3 linked regions of the Macaca mulatta genome follow. The protein of the gene in region 3 interacts with the protein of the main gene of each other region in a biochemical or structural test. Links are inferred from orthologs where the notes say so. Each region holds a gene or a part of one and is shown on either strand. Other genes may lie near its edges.

Region 1 (4,138 bases), on a different chromosome or scaffold from region 3:
GCCTCCCAAAGTGCTGGGATTACAGGCGTGAGCCACCGCGCCCGGCCGCATCACTCGTTTTAAAGGTAGCTTTTTTTTTTTTTTTTTTTGAGACAGTCTCACTGTGTGGCCCAGGCTGGAGTGCAGAGGCGCGATCCCCCCTGCAAGCTCCACCTCTCGGGTTCACGACATTCTCCTGCCTCAGGCTTCCAGCAACTGGGACCACAGGCGCCTGCGACCACGCCTGACTAATTTTTTGTATTTTTAGTAAAGACGGGGTTTCACCGTGTTAGCCAGGATGGTCTTGATCTCACGACCTCGTGATCCGCCCGCATTGGCCTCCCAAAGTGCTGGGATTACAGGCGTGAGCCCCCGCGCCCGGCATGAAGGTACCATTTTTTTTTTTTTAACTAGAGAGGCTGCTTTTTGGAATTGTCTCTCTACTGCTACACTTACTTTTTTTGAGACGGAGTCTCCCTCTATTGCCCAGGCTGGAGTACAGTGGCGCAATCTCGGCTCACTAAAACCTTCGACTCCTGGGTTCAAGCGATTCTCCTGCCTCAGCCTCCCGAATAGCTGGGACTACAGGAGTGCACCACCACGCCCGGCTAGTTTTTGTATTTTTAGTAGAAACGGGGTTTCACCATATTGGCCAAGCTGGTCTCTAACTCCTGACCTCGTGATCCACCTGCCTCAGCCTCCCAAGTATTGGGATTACAGGCGTGAGCCACCGCGCCTGGCCTTACACTTTTCACCCAAGTTTTTAAATTTACTTTCCTAACTTAGCCGTTCCTTACCTATTTAGATATCTCATGTGCCCTCCAGAAAGTGCTTCTACTTCGAGCCCATTTTAAACATTTTTCACGAAAAGATATGTTGTTTGGCTCTATTATTAAAAGCTGCTTAATGCCTTATCTGACAAAAATTTTCCCTTACAGATTTTCAGAGTATGAAAGGTTAAGACTGATGTCCCTTCTACATTACTTATGAGAGATTTCAAAGGGAAAAACAAAAGCTATTTTATATACTTTTTTTTTTGAGACGGAGTTTTACTCTTGTTGTCCAGGCTGGAGTGCAATGGCAAGATCTCGGCTCACCACAACCTCTGCCTCCCTGTTTCAAACGATTCTCCTACCTCAGCCTCCCGAGTAGCTGGGATTACAGGCATGTGCCACCACGCCCGGCTAATATTTGTATTTTTGTAGCGACGGGGTTTCTCCATGTTGGTCAGGCTGGTCTCGAACTCCCGACCTCAGGTGATCCGCCCACCTCGGCCTCTTAAAGTGCTGGGATTACAGGTGTGAGCCACCGCGCCCAGCCTGATTCAAACTTTTAAAAACCCCGATTACGTATCACTCTCGGGGAGGGGGCTCCCTCAAAAATTCTAACATGCTGTGCTCTAGAAGCTTGTTTCCAGTGATAAACTTCGCTTCAGTGTATCCCTCACTCATTCCTTTAGATTTCTAGCCGTCAGTATCATGACTTTGAATCAAGCAAACCCTTCTTACTTTTCCACAAAGTCACTCCCTCTCATCTCTTCTGAATGGAATATTTTTTAAAAAAAGGTTCCCCCTTAATTGCTCTCCATACCTTTTAGGACGCAGTTAGTACCTTAAAAAATAACCTCCCGTCAAAAAAAAACCAAAAACTAAAACAAAACCCTGTAAAACCGGCAGTTCCCACTGTACGTGGCAGTGCCAAGAATTCTTACTCGGTTAAAATCGCCGAGGTTTCCTTTATCATCATAAAATGAAGACTACCATAGAATCTCAACACAAATTTAAACTCTTTAGGACAACAGTAGGTTAATTACACGCCTATTACATACATATTTCACCCCACAGTTACAGGATAGTGAAACCTCACCTCAGGTTTAACATGGAACACAGAAAATGTCCGTGTCTTTCCAAAGCAGACACGTGCAGAACTACCTGCTCAACGGTAACTCCTCCTCGCTGCCAGGGAAGCGGCTGAGTTTTGGCAACCTCCCGTGTTTTCAAGAGACTGGAGTTACGAGGCGGACTTCAAGTACCCACACTCAAGAAACCCAGACACTGGAGAGAGAAGTATGTTGCGGCGTGGGCATGGCTTCACTCTAGTTGCCTAGCAGTACCTGCCGCTCACGGCTAGGCCCGCGTGGGGCTCTCCCAGGAGCTCCGCCAGGCAACTGGCGGCACCCACCACAGGTGCACTCGACTCAGGGCCTGGCCCGGGGACCACAAAGCAGCAGAACCGGAGCGCCCAAGCAGCCGAGGCGACCCACGAGGGTTCACGCTTCACGGCGCCGCATGGCGAGCAGCTCCGGGGAGCTTAAGGCCTAAGGTGAAGTTACCTAAGGAAGCCAGTAGCCCAGACAGCCAAAGAGGGAAAAAGTAGGATTTCCGGTATAGGGAAGCCAAGGGACGTTTCAGGGGTGGGGGAAGCAGACATCTGGAGGAAAAATGTCCTCCACCCGCCAACGGTAACCGGAACAAGGATCCTGGACCTCCCGCCCCCAGGCAGGAACGACTGCCACCACCGATGCGAGAAAGGCTATGGGGCCAAAAGCAGAGGGAGGGCAAGGGCCGCTTCCAGGGAGCCCCCAACGCGGCCTCGGCCTCACTCTGGGCGACCTTCCCTCGGCGGGGTGTCGCACTCACATTGTGAACGGGGCAGGGGGACGGGCGAACGGGTGGGCGGGCCTCTCTGGCGGTGGCTGCTGCTAGGGAGTCGACTTCTCTCCAGTGGCGACTCCGCGTTTTCTCCCCGGTCGCGGCCTCTTCTCGCTTCCCTCAGGCGACGGCGGCAGCGGCGGGCTCGACCTCGGTCCCCAGAATGCACCGCGCGGAAAGAGCGGCTCCTCCGGTCGGGGAGAAGAGGAAAGTGTAGGAAAACGGGCGCGAGGACGGAGAATGAACGTGCGTGCGTGCAAACGAGGGGTGGTGAGGCCGGGCGGCGGCTGGTGACGCAGCAAAATGCCCGGGCCTTACCGCCGCGCGTGCGCAGTCCTTGTTTTCGGGGTCCGGCGCGGCTTTCTAGAGATATCTACGGAAAGGGCGGGGCTTCCCAGCTCCTTCGCGATCCTTCCTGGCGTCGGCCCCGCCCTTCGTCCGCCACCCCACCCCCACCCCGCCCCCTGCTAGTCGCTACGCGTTCCCGCCTCTCCTCCCTCGCTGTCCTCTCGCGTTAGAAAACCGTTGGTGTCCCAACTGCCCGGCCATGCGCCTTGGGCGATTTCTCTGAGAAACGGCTGCGTTGGCAGTGGGAGGCAAGGCCGAGGCGGAGGGACACGGAGTCAGGATCCTATAGAACTAAAATGGAGCGTTGGTTACTCTTGAGGGAGTAAATCAGTTCACTGAGGAATCATTCCACCACAAAAACCTGTGAAAAGGCTGTGCTGTGGAAAAGGGCTCACTTCAGAATCAAGGGCCTGGGTCTACCTCGCCATTTTTCTGAAGGTTGGAGGCTCTGTCTAGGGACAGCGGAAATTGGAGGTTCTTGGCGGAGGAGGAGCATTTGCCATTTGGGGCGGGCTTTTGCCCCTACCTTGAGACCTCAGTGCTGTAGATGAGACAGGAAGGATATTTGGTGGGAGAGTCTTAGGTTTCTGGGAATGGAGAGGCTAGGACATTGGGTGTCTCCACGCACATCATTTGGGGGAGAACGGGTTCCCCGTCGCTTCGTGCAACACACTAATAGGGTGTATTAGGGGATAGTAACCAAGAGACCCAAAACAGTCCTGCTTACCAAGAGGCCACTTAACGGTGGAGTATGGGAAAAATACTCTAGTGCACTGCATTATGAACAGGAAGGAGGTTTAACGAAAGTGCTATAAAACGTTTCTGAAGAACGGGGCTTCATAATAAGCAATAAGGTATTTAGTGTCTATGTTGTGCACGACAGGTAGTGGGAGCTACGAAAACTGGACCCTAGCTCAAATGCCATTTTGGACCGGGCGCCCATAGCTCACGCCTGTAATCCCAGTACTTTGGGAAGCTTGAGGTGGGCGGATCACCTGAGGTCAGGAGTTTCACCTGCCCAACATGGTGAAACCCCATCTCTACTGAAATTACTAATTAGCAGGGCGTGGTGGCACGCGCCTGTAATGCCAAATACTAGGGAGTATGAGGCGGGAGGATAGCTCGAACCCAGGAGGTGGACGTTGCAGGGAGCACTCTAA
Region 2 (4,120 bases), on a different chromosome or scaffold from region 3:
CTTCACTCTCCCTTTATTGTTGTTCTCATCTCTTTCGGCTGAGTGCATACTACTAACTACACAAAATTAAATGCTGCATAACATGATCCCTCTCACTGTACCAACTCCATGTATTAGTCTATGTACCTCTCCCCTCTTCTCAAAAGCCCTTCTTCTGGTTTTATCTAAATGTATACCTGATCTAATAGGTCTTCCCTGGTCCTGTTAGCTTCATCCTACATGTCTGTCCTCCCCTGGAACTCCTGAAAACACTTCAGAAAACATGGGCGTCTGCTCAATAGCTCCTCACCCAAGTGCCTGCCAACCTTCACCAGCCTGGAGCTCATAGCTCAACACCTGTCTGGGTGCTGACTTACATACAGCTGAATGGTGTTACCTGCTAATAGATATGTTCTAGTGCCCAACTGCATAGTAAATTGTCACAGGGCAGGGAGAAGGCAGGGCAAGAACAAGGTCTCAAAATCCTTTCCCACCTCCCTCAGCACACAGTGCTATGCACACAGCACGACCTCAGACTCTTGCTAGGTAAAACCACTCCCAATACCCCCAAAATACCTCTCAGCCCACCAATTTAGATGTATCTAAGGCATTACAGGTGCAGGTGCCTTAGAGTCCCTCTAGTACACGCGCTAGAGGTGGAGATTAGTCATAGAGGGTGACTAACTCCTCCCTCCTGCCTTTCTGTCCCAACCAGGTACCCAAGACGTGCACCTCCAAGACAGGGACCATGCCTCTTTTACTCCCCGGTGCTTGGAGGTCAGCGCGGAGTTCAGCACACAGCCAGTACTGAAGGAGGAATTGACTGAAGGGAGAGATTATCTCCATGACTCATGCTACTTGGTGGTTTCCTTTCAGCTGGAAGCCTCAATTCACTGTCAAATGGAAAGTTAAAGAAAATCCCGATGACTATGTCTATGCAAATGCAGGAAAACGAAAAACTTATTTTCCACCATGAATTTGGCAACTTCCTGCGAAACTGAACAACTTAATGCTGCAGACTGCAAAATCACACTCACCATCACTCTTTCCTAATCAACTCTTCCCTCAACTTCACAATTCCCACCAACACCACACTCCAATCAGCCAGACATACAACCTCCACAGCGCGTTCAACCAGTACTGCCCTTCATGGCCTATGAAAAACTAGGTACTCAAGTGCTGCTTATATACTCCTTGATCTCACAGCAATCACCCACCCGTTTTCTTCCACTCTTCACACCTGCTGTGCACAAGACTTCAACTGATGCCTTGCTCTCTGGCACTCAGCCCTCCAGGCCCCATCCTCTCACCTTCTTCCCAGACCCTAAATGCCACCATCAGGCTAGTATTTACTTAGTGCTGTTTTCAACCAGTCTGTCCTCTGCTCAAACAATAACTTCACAGTTCTGAAACCATCAGCCTACACTCTTCTGTTCCAGGCTGACCCAGGCCCATATTCACTCTCGGACTCCAGGAACTCTGACTTATCCTCCTGCTTTGGCTAGGACGGTCACTGTGTCTCTCTTTCCAGGAACATATAACATTCTCTGCCATCTCAAAACCTTAACAAAGGTCTTACTCCTGCTTATCCAAATCCCACCCACCCTCTGACAAAGTTTTCCCAAAGTCCAGTCGCAATGGGTCCTCTCTCTTCCCCCTGCCACAGAACTGTATTTAACCTTCCTGCACTACCTTCCTGTTGGTTCATAAACACTCTCTCCTGTGTGGAAAGTCAGAACAGCTGATGAGGAAGATAAGCCACATAGCCACATGATCCTGCCCAAACCACCAGACTTTCCAATCTCACACAACAGTTATGAAGCTCAAATGAGAATTTACAGGAAGGGGACTTGTTCATCTCACATTCGTAAGACCGTCCAAGTGGAGGATCCCTCTAATGCCTGCCAAGTGCAGATATTTCCCATCATGCACAACCCTAGAGAGCTAAGATCTCAGCAAACACCAATTATATGTAAGATAGTGAAAGAACACACTTCTCATGGAGCACCGGTCTTCACATTCTCCATGTAGCCACTCAGGAACTTCTCTGGCGCAAAATTTTAAGCGGTTGCACAAGTACGTAGGAGACAGGGGTGAAAAACGGGGACACTGCTATTTTTGGCAAATCTGGTGGCAAGGTGCCCATTCTAAGGGTGGAACATAAACTGTAAGCCACAATCCGATCAGTGGGGCATAAGGAACAAAAGAACTGAGGAGTAGGGATGCGAGCAGAGTAGACCAGGGTACCAATGAAACAAACACCTGGGCAAAGAACGCTTTGGACCATAAAACCGGGACCACTGTCCTTCCTGACGCTCACTACCATCACAGCTGGGCGTGCCCAGGCTCGGGCCTGTGAGCCGTAAAATCGCAGCTCACCGGGCCAGACCGGGGCGGCCACTCCCCTCCGTCCTGGGCGAGGCTTACCAATCGAGATCTCCTGCGCGAAGGCCAGCGAGATGAGCAGCAGCGGCAGCCCCACGGCAATGCACGTAACCATCTTGTCCACGGCCAGCTCCAGTCGCAGCCCCTTGAACTTAGGCTCGGTGGGCTCCTTCAGCAAGAAATCCGAGAACACGTACTCCGTGGCCAGGTGGGCGATGGCCATGGCTGCGGCGCGCCAGGCTCGGCCAGGCAGGACTTGGTACTGCCGGCGTCGGGAGAGCTGCGCGGCTCCTTCACCCTGTCACTGGCCGGGCGTGCGGCTTTCGCTTTCCCTTTACCTGCTCCCCAGATGCTCTCGCATCCCGCCTGCCTTTGTGTCTCGGTGCCTCCGGCTCCCAGCGACCCCGCTGGGCTCTCGCGCTCGCTGCCTCCGCCGCCGGCGGGGCGGGGCGGGGACCCGGGCGCTCCGGTTCCTGCGGTCCCACCTCGCGCGCTCAGCCGGTGTAAGTCCCCGGGGCGCGCGCGGCACTCGGATTCGCGCCTCTCCCGCGCGCCCGCAGGCGCGGGAACCACGCGCGAGACAAAGCGCTTCCCTCTGGCCCTGCGCCTACGCGTCGCCCCGGCTGCAGAAGAGGCCTCCGGGCCTGCCCTGCGCTCTCTGCCAGCCGCGCCGCGCTCTTCCGGAACCATCCGGGGAAACCGAGTACCCAGGGGCGTGGAGCTTCCGGAGACGCGGTGACGCGAGGCGGGGTGGGCGCGGCTGCATCCAGCGCCCCTCGGGCCCGCTCTCCGACAAAGGGATTTTCCCGCTGAGCGGCACCTTTGAAAATTCTCCCGTCCCTCCCGGCCGCATTCTCCTCACGTCCTGGCACCCGGGAATTTTAAAATCATTTCTGCAAGCAACTCTTTCTGTGGACGGGATGGCCCCCTTTACGCCCCACCCCTAACATTTCCAACACAGTGAAATGGGTTAGAAGGAGCTGTAAAAACTTCAAAGAAGAGTCAGTGCCGTAAAAGGCCAATCGAGCGGTGTAGACAGACGGTCCCTTGCAGAGGGAGCGCTGGACCCTTCCAGGAGCTCCGCGTGAGATGGTGGCGTGGAAACGCTGGTGAGTGTGGAGTATGACCCGTCTGAGGCCTGAGTAGCGCTGCTGGTCCCGTTTCTCTTTCCTCTGCCATCCCAATCAGAGCCTTGTTCTGGGAGCCAGCAGAGGGGCGGCCTGCAGGTAGCTGGGTGTTGAGGCTGCAGAGAGCTGCTTCTGAACAGCTCACAGGAAGTGGATGATAGAAAGACAGGAGGAAATACTCTGACAAGTGTCCACGGAAATTAAGGCTGTTGAGGTAGAAATAATTCGATTTATCGGAAGCTAAATGTGAGGATCCAGCCAAGAAGACTTACCAGCAAAGTTGGGCATGTTTCAAAATGTGTTACACGTTGGAAGGGTTTTAGAAGAAAGTTTAGGAAAAGGGAGGAGGACCCCTCATGTCGGAGTTGGGTTTTTTTTCATCGGAGGGTGCGGTACACAGGTTACAGTCACGGGCTTCGGGTGACAACATACAGTCTAAAATGTTTTGTGCACAAGAAAATCAAAGTTTCTATGATTCAGAAACAAGTCAAGTGTTCTTTTCAATGTCAGTTTTTACATATTAATCAGTACATCAACAGTTCGAGGAACTGACAAAAAGATTTCAAAGACTCACAGATTTTTTTACTCAGGGACAGACAGGATCTAAGCCATGAATCATAAGACCTTTC
Region 3 (3,644 bases):
GCCCAGGCTGGAGTACAGTGGTGCAGTCATGGTCCCGTGCAGCCTTGATCTCCTGGGCTCAAGTGATTCTCCTGCCTCAGCTTCCCGAATAGCCAGACTACCAGCATGTGCCACCACACCCAGCTAATTTTCTTATCTTTTTTTTGTAGAGACGGGGCTCTCACTATGTTGTCCAGTCTAGTCTCAAACTCCTGGGCTCCAGCAATCCTCTCTCCTTGGCCTCCCACAGTGCTGAGATTACAGGTGTAAGCCACTGCGCCAAGCTAGCCCTACTTTTAAAAGGGAAGCACACAGCAGAACCTTTAAGTGAGTGGTGCTGGCATTGTTTAGTTTCTCAGCTTTATCATTTACTGTCAGCAAAAAGGCAAGCTATTAAACCTCACAGCACCTCAGTTTCCCTACCTGATAAATGGTGACAACAATAAAACTAAATGTGCAATTATGTAGACTAAATGCAATAATACAAAGCAGCCATACAAGAGTTTAATCAATGAAGCTATTATATTATTAAACACAAAATTTAGATTTTAAAAGTGAACTCAAGAAAGGGGAAGGCGGGAACTAATGAACAGGATGCAATCCCCCTTCCATCAGTGGAATGCAGCAGGAGGCACAGGGTAGGTGTGAGTCACCCTAAAACCTGTCCCTCAGCCCCTGGATTCTGTGTTTTTTGTCAAATTTGGTCCCATTGGCAGCAGCAGCCCAAGCTCTGTTCTGAAGGTGCCTGCAAATCGCCTCTAATGAGAACAGCCCTTGATTCCTAGGAACTGCTACCAGACACTCGGCCGCTGAGCAGGAGACTCCCAATGCTTGGTTTTATCCATTCCTGGGCTTGGCCCACAGACAAGAGGGTGCACATGAGGACCCTAGTGTTGCTGCATACAGCCGCATGCAGGACCCTAGTGTTGCTGCATACAGCTGCATAGCCTTTGTATGTGGCTAGCAAGAACCTGTGCAAACCTCCCATGCTCAGCATGAACCTCCTTCCCTGAGTGTCCCCCTCCCCATAGGTGGGTGGAGATGGCAGAGGCACGGCAGGCTGATGTGGTCCAGGGTCCCCGATTAAGCAAACCTACCTCAAGAGGAATGGTACAAATGAGGACCGGTCTGGCTTAGCATCCACTGAATCTTCATTTGCTGAATTCCCAACCCCCTGCTCTTCAACATAGCCCTGATCATCTGCCATCTGGAAAGAAAAAAAAACAAGCCATGAGGTCAGTGGCATCACTGATACTGTGATATTTTTAAATGACACTCATTAGGTGACATGCTTTTCCATTATGCCTAGGGGTGAGCAGTTTTGCATATTTAAGATTCAGGGTTACTGCCCCATTAATGCATTCAAATATGTGAGTATGCTTACATCCCAGAGACTACATATGGCAACAAAGAAAACAAAGTCCTTGCCCTCAGGGAGCTTCTAATCCAGCATCCACAATTTTGTTTTATGTTCACTGCATACAAGAAACAGTGGAAGGTCTGTCAACGTTTATAACCATGACAATTTCCCCCTAAATTCCTAGCAGGTCACGAAGTGCTCCTACGCAGTTCAAAAGCAGCAACAACCTGGGGCATTAGGCTCTCTTTCCGTCAGATGCTTTTACATGGTTCTACACAAAATAGATTTCCATCAAATTACATTCCAGCTTGAGAATCTTCAAGAGATCCCCATTAACTACAAGTTCAAATCTAAAGCCACGTCCTCGGATTTTAAGGACCTTTCTGATCTAGTCTGGGAGTCAGCACACTATGGCCCAACACTTGTTTCAGTAAATAGAGTTGTACTGGAAAACAGCCATGTCCATTCATTTATGTACTGCCTATGGCTGTTTCCTCTCCACAACAGAGTTGAGTGATGGCCACAAAGCCAAAAATATTTACCACCTGGCCCTTTCCCACCCCCACCCTCTGTCTTCATTTACTACATAGCCTTTGTATGTGGCTTCCTATTTGCACTCTGCTGTTTGGCTCCCATAAGACGATATAAGTTCATCATGGCAGAGGTAGCTGGAACACAGAAGGTGCTTACTAAAATATTTAACTGAACGGAAGGCTGGATGAAACACACACCCCAAGGGAAAATAATTAGCTAAAAGTGATGTGGCTGGCCCAAGGCAGAGCCAGTATTAGAATCATTTTTTTTTTTTTTGTCTTTGAGATGGAGTTTCACTCTTGTTGCCCAGGCTGGAGAGCAATGGCGTGATCTCTGCTCACTACAGCCTCTGCCTCCCCCGTTCAAGTGATTATCCTGCCTCAGCCTCCTGAGTGGCTGGGATTATAGGTGCTCACCACCACGTCTGGCTAATTTTTTTTGTATTTGTAGTAGAGATAGGGCCAGGCTGTTGGCCAGGCTGGTCTCAAACTCTGGCCTCCCAAAGTGCTGGGATTACAGGTGTGAGCCACCACGCCTGGCCAGTATTAGAATCATTTCTTCTAAATCAAGTCCTGTTTCCTTCCACATGAAAGGATCACAGATCAACTTTCAGGAATAAAGGGAAACTTCTCCAGACTCCAATTTCTACCTGGTCCCAACTGTTACTGGAAAAGGGTCCTGATCCAGACCCCAAGGGAGGGTCTGGACCTCGTGCAAGAAAGAATTAAGGGCAAGTCGATAGCGTAAAGTGAAAGCAAGCTTATTAATTAATTAAAGTAAAGGAATAAAAGAATGGCTACTCCATAGGCAGAGCAGCAGCTTGGGCTGCTGGACTAGGGATACTCATAGTTATTTCTTGATTATATGCTAAACAGTAGGTGGACTGTTCACAAATTTTCCAAGGAAGGGGTGCAAAATTCCAGGAACTGAGAAAGTTCCCCTTTTTAGACCATATAGGGTAACTTCCAGACGTTGCTATGGCATTTGTAAACTGTCATGGTGCTGGGGGGAGTGTCTTTTAGCATGCTAATGCATTATAATTAGTGTATAATGAGCAGTGAGGGTGACCAGGGGTCACTCTTGTCACCATCTTAGTTTTGCTGGGTTTTGGCTGGCTTCTTTACTGCAAAGCCTGTTTTATCAACAAGGTCTTTATGACCTCTATCTTGTGCTAACCTCCTACCTCATCCTGTGACTAAGAATGCCTTAACCTCCTGGGAATGCAGCCCAGTAGATCTCAGTCTTATGTTACCCAGCCCCTATTCCATATGGAGTTGCTCTGGTTCAAATGCCTCTGATACAATCGCTAAGCAACTTCACTGAGCAGGCCATGGCTGTCAGGTGCAGTTCTGTATTCCAGTTAGGGCTCACCAAGGGATGCTATCATTAAGTTGGAAAAAAGAAGGCATCTATTTTACAGAATATTTTGTGCCACTAAGCACAACAAGTAATGACTTTTGGAGGTGGAGAGAAGAAGGAATGCAGTTCAGAAGGAGGTGTCCCAGGAGGCGAAGCGACGACCTAGTGGCCTTGCACTCTGAATGGCATTACGGTTTCACCTTCCAGCTTATCTGAGGGTGAACTGGGAAGAAGGGAGGGAGCTAAGAAGAAGGGAAAGTCCTACTGCCAGGTCTCTACAATGACCAGGAGAAGTCAGATGGTCAACTTGTTTCTCAACACATCGTGAGCCTCCCTTCATCACCACCAATGTGTATCTGGTTGGGAGGCAGATTTTCCAGATTAGAACCCAAAGTTTCTCAAAATGGAGATA

Evidence for each region. The genes of interacting proteins can lie anywhere in the genome.
Region 1: of the proteins of CASP7 (region 3) and PTGES3, one has a biochemical effect on the other in vitro, tested with the Homo sapiens proteins (2 studies listed by BioGRID and IntAct). The link is inferred for Macaca mulatta from reciprocal best matches to the Homo sapiens genes CASP7 and PTGES3.
Region 2: of the proteins of CASP7 (region 3) and PANX1, one has a biochemical effect on the other in vitro, tested with the Homo sapiens proteins (2 studies listed by IntAct). The link is inferred for Macaca mulatta from reciprocal best matches to the Homo sapiens genes CASP7 and PANX1.

What each region holds. Positions count from the first base shown.
Region 1 is NC_133416.1:63,860,504-63,864,641, forward strand, and holds the start of PTGES3 (prostaglandin E synthase 3), read right to left. Parts: upstream 2,870-4,138; 5' UTR 2,621-2,869; coding exon 2,619-2,620; intron 1-2,618. UniProt on the Homo sapiens protein: Cytosolic prostaglandin synthase that catalyzes the oxidoreduction of prostaglandin endoperoxide H2 (PGH2) to prostaglandin E2 (PGE2).
Region 2 is NC_133419.1:94,944,215-94,948,334, reverse strand, and holds the start of PANX1 (pannexin-1), read right to left. Parts: upstream 2,588-4,120; coding exon 2,407-2,587; coding exon of another isoform or gene 2,354-2,406; intron 1-2,353. Other genes in the region: uncharacterized protein LOC114672334, read left to right, coding at 2,354-3,103. UniProt on the Homo sapiens protein: Ion channel involved in a variety of physiological functions such as blood pressure regulation, apoptotic cell clearance and oogenesis.
Region 3 is NC_133414.1:125,839,783-125,843,426, reverse strand, and holds part of CASP7 (caspase-7), read right to left. Parts: intron 1,187-3,644; coding exon 1,077-1,186; intron 1-1,076. UniProt on the Homo sapiens protein: Thiol protease involved in different programmed cell death processes, such as apoptosis, pyroptosis or granzyme-mediated programmed cell death, by proteolytically cleaving target proteins.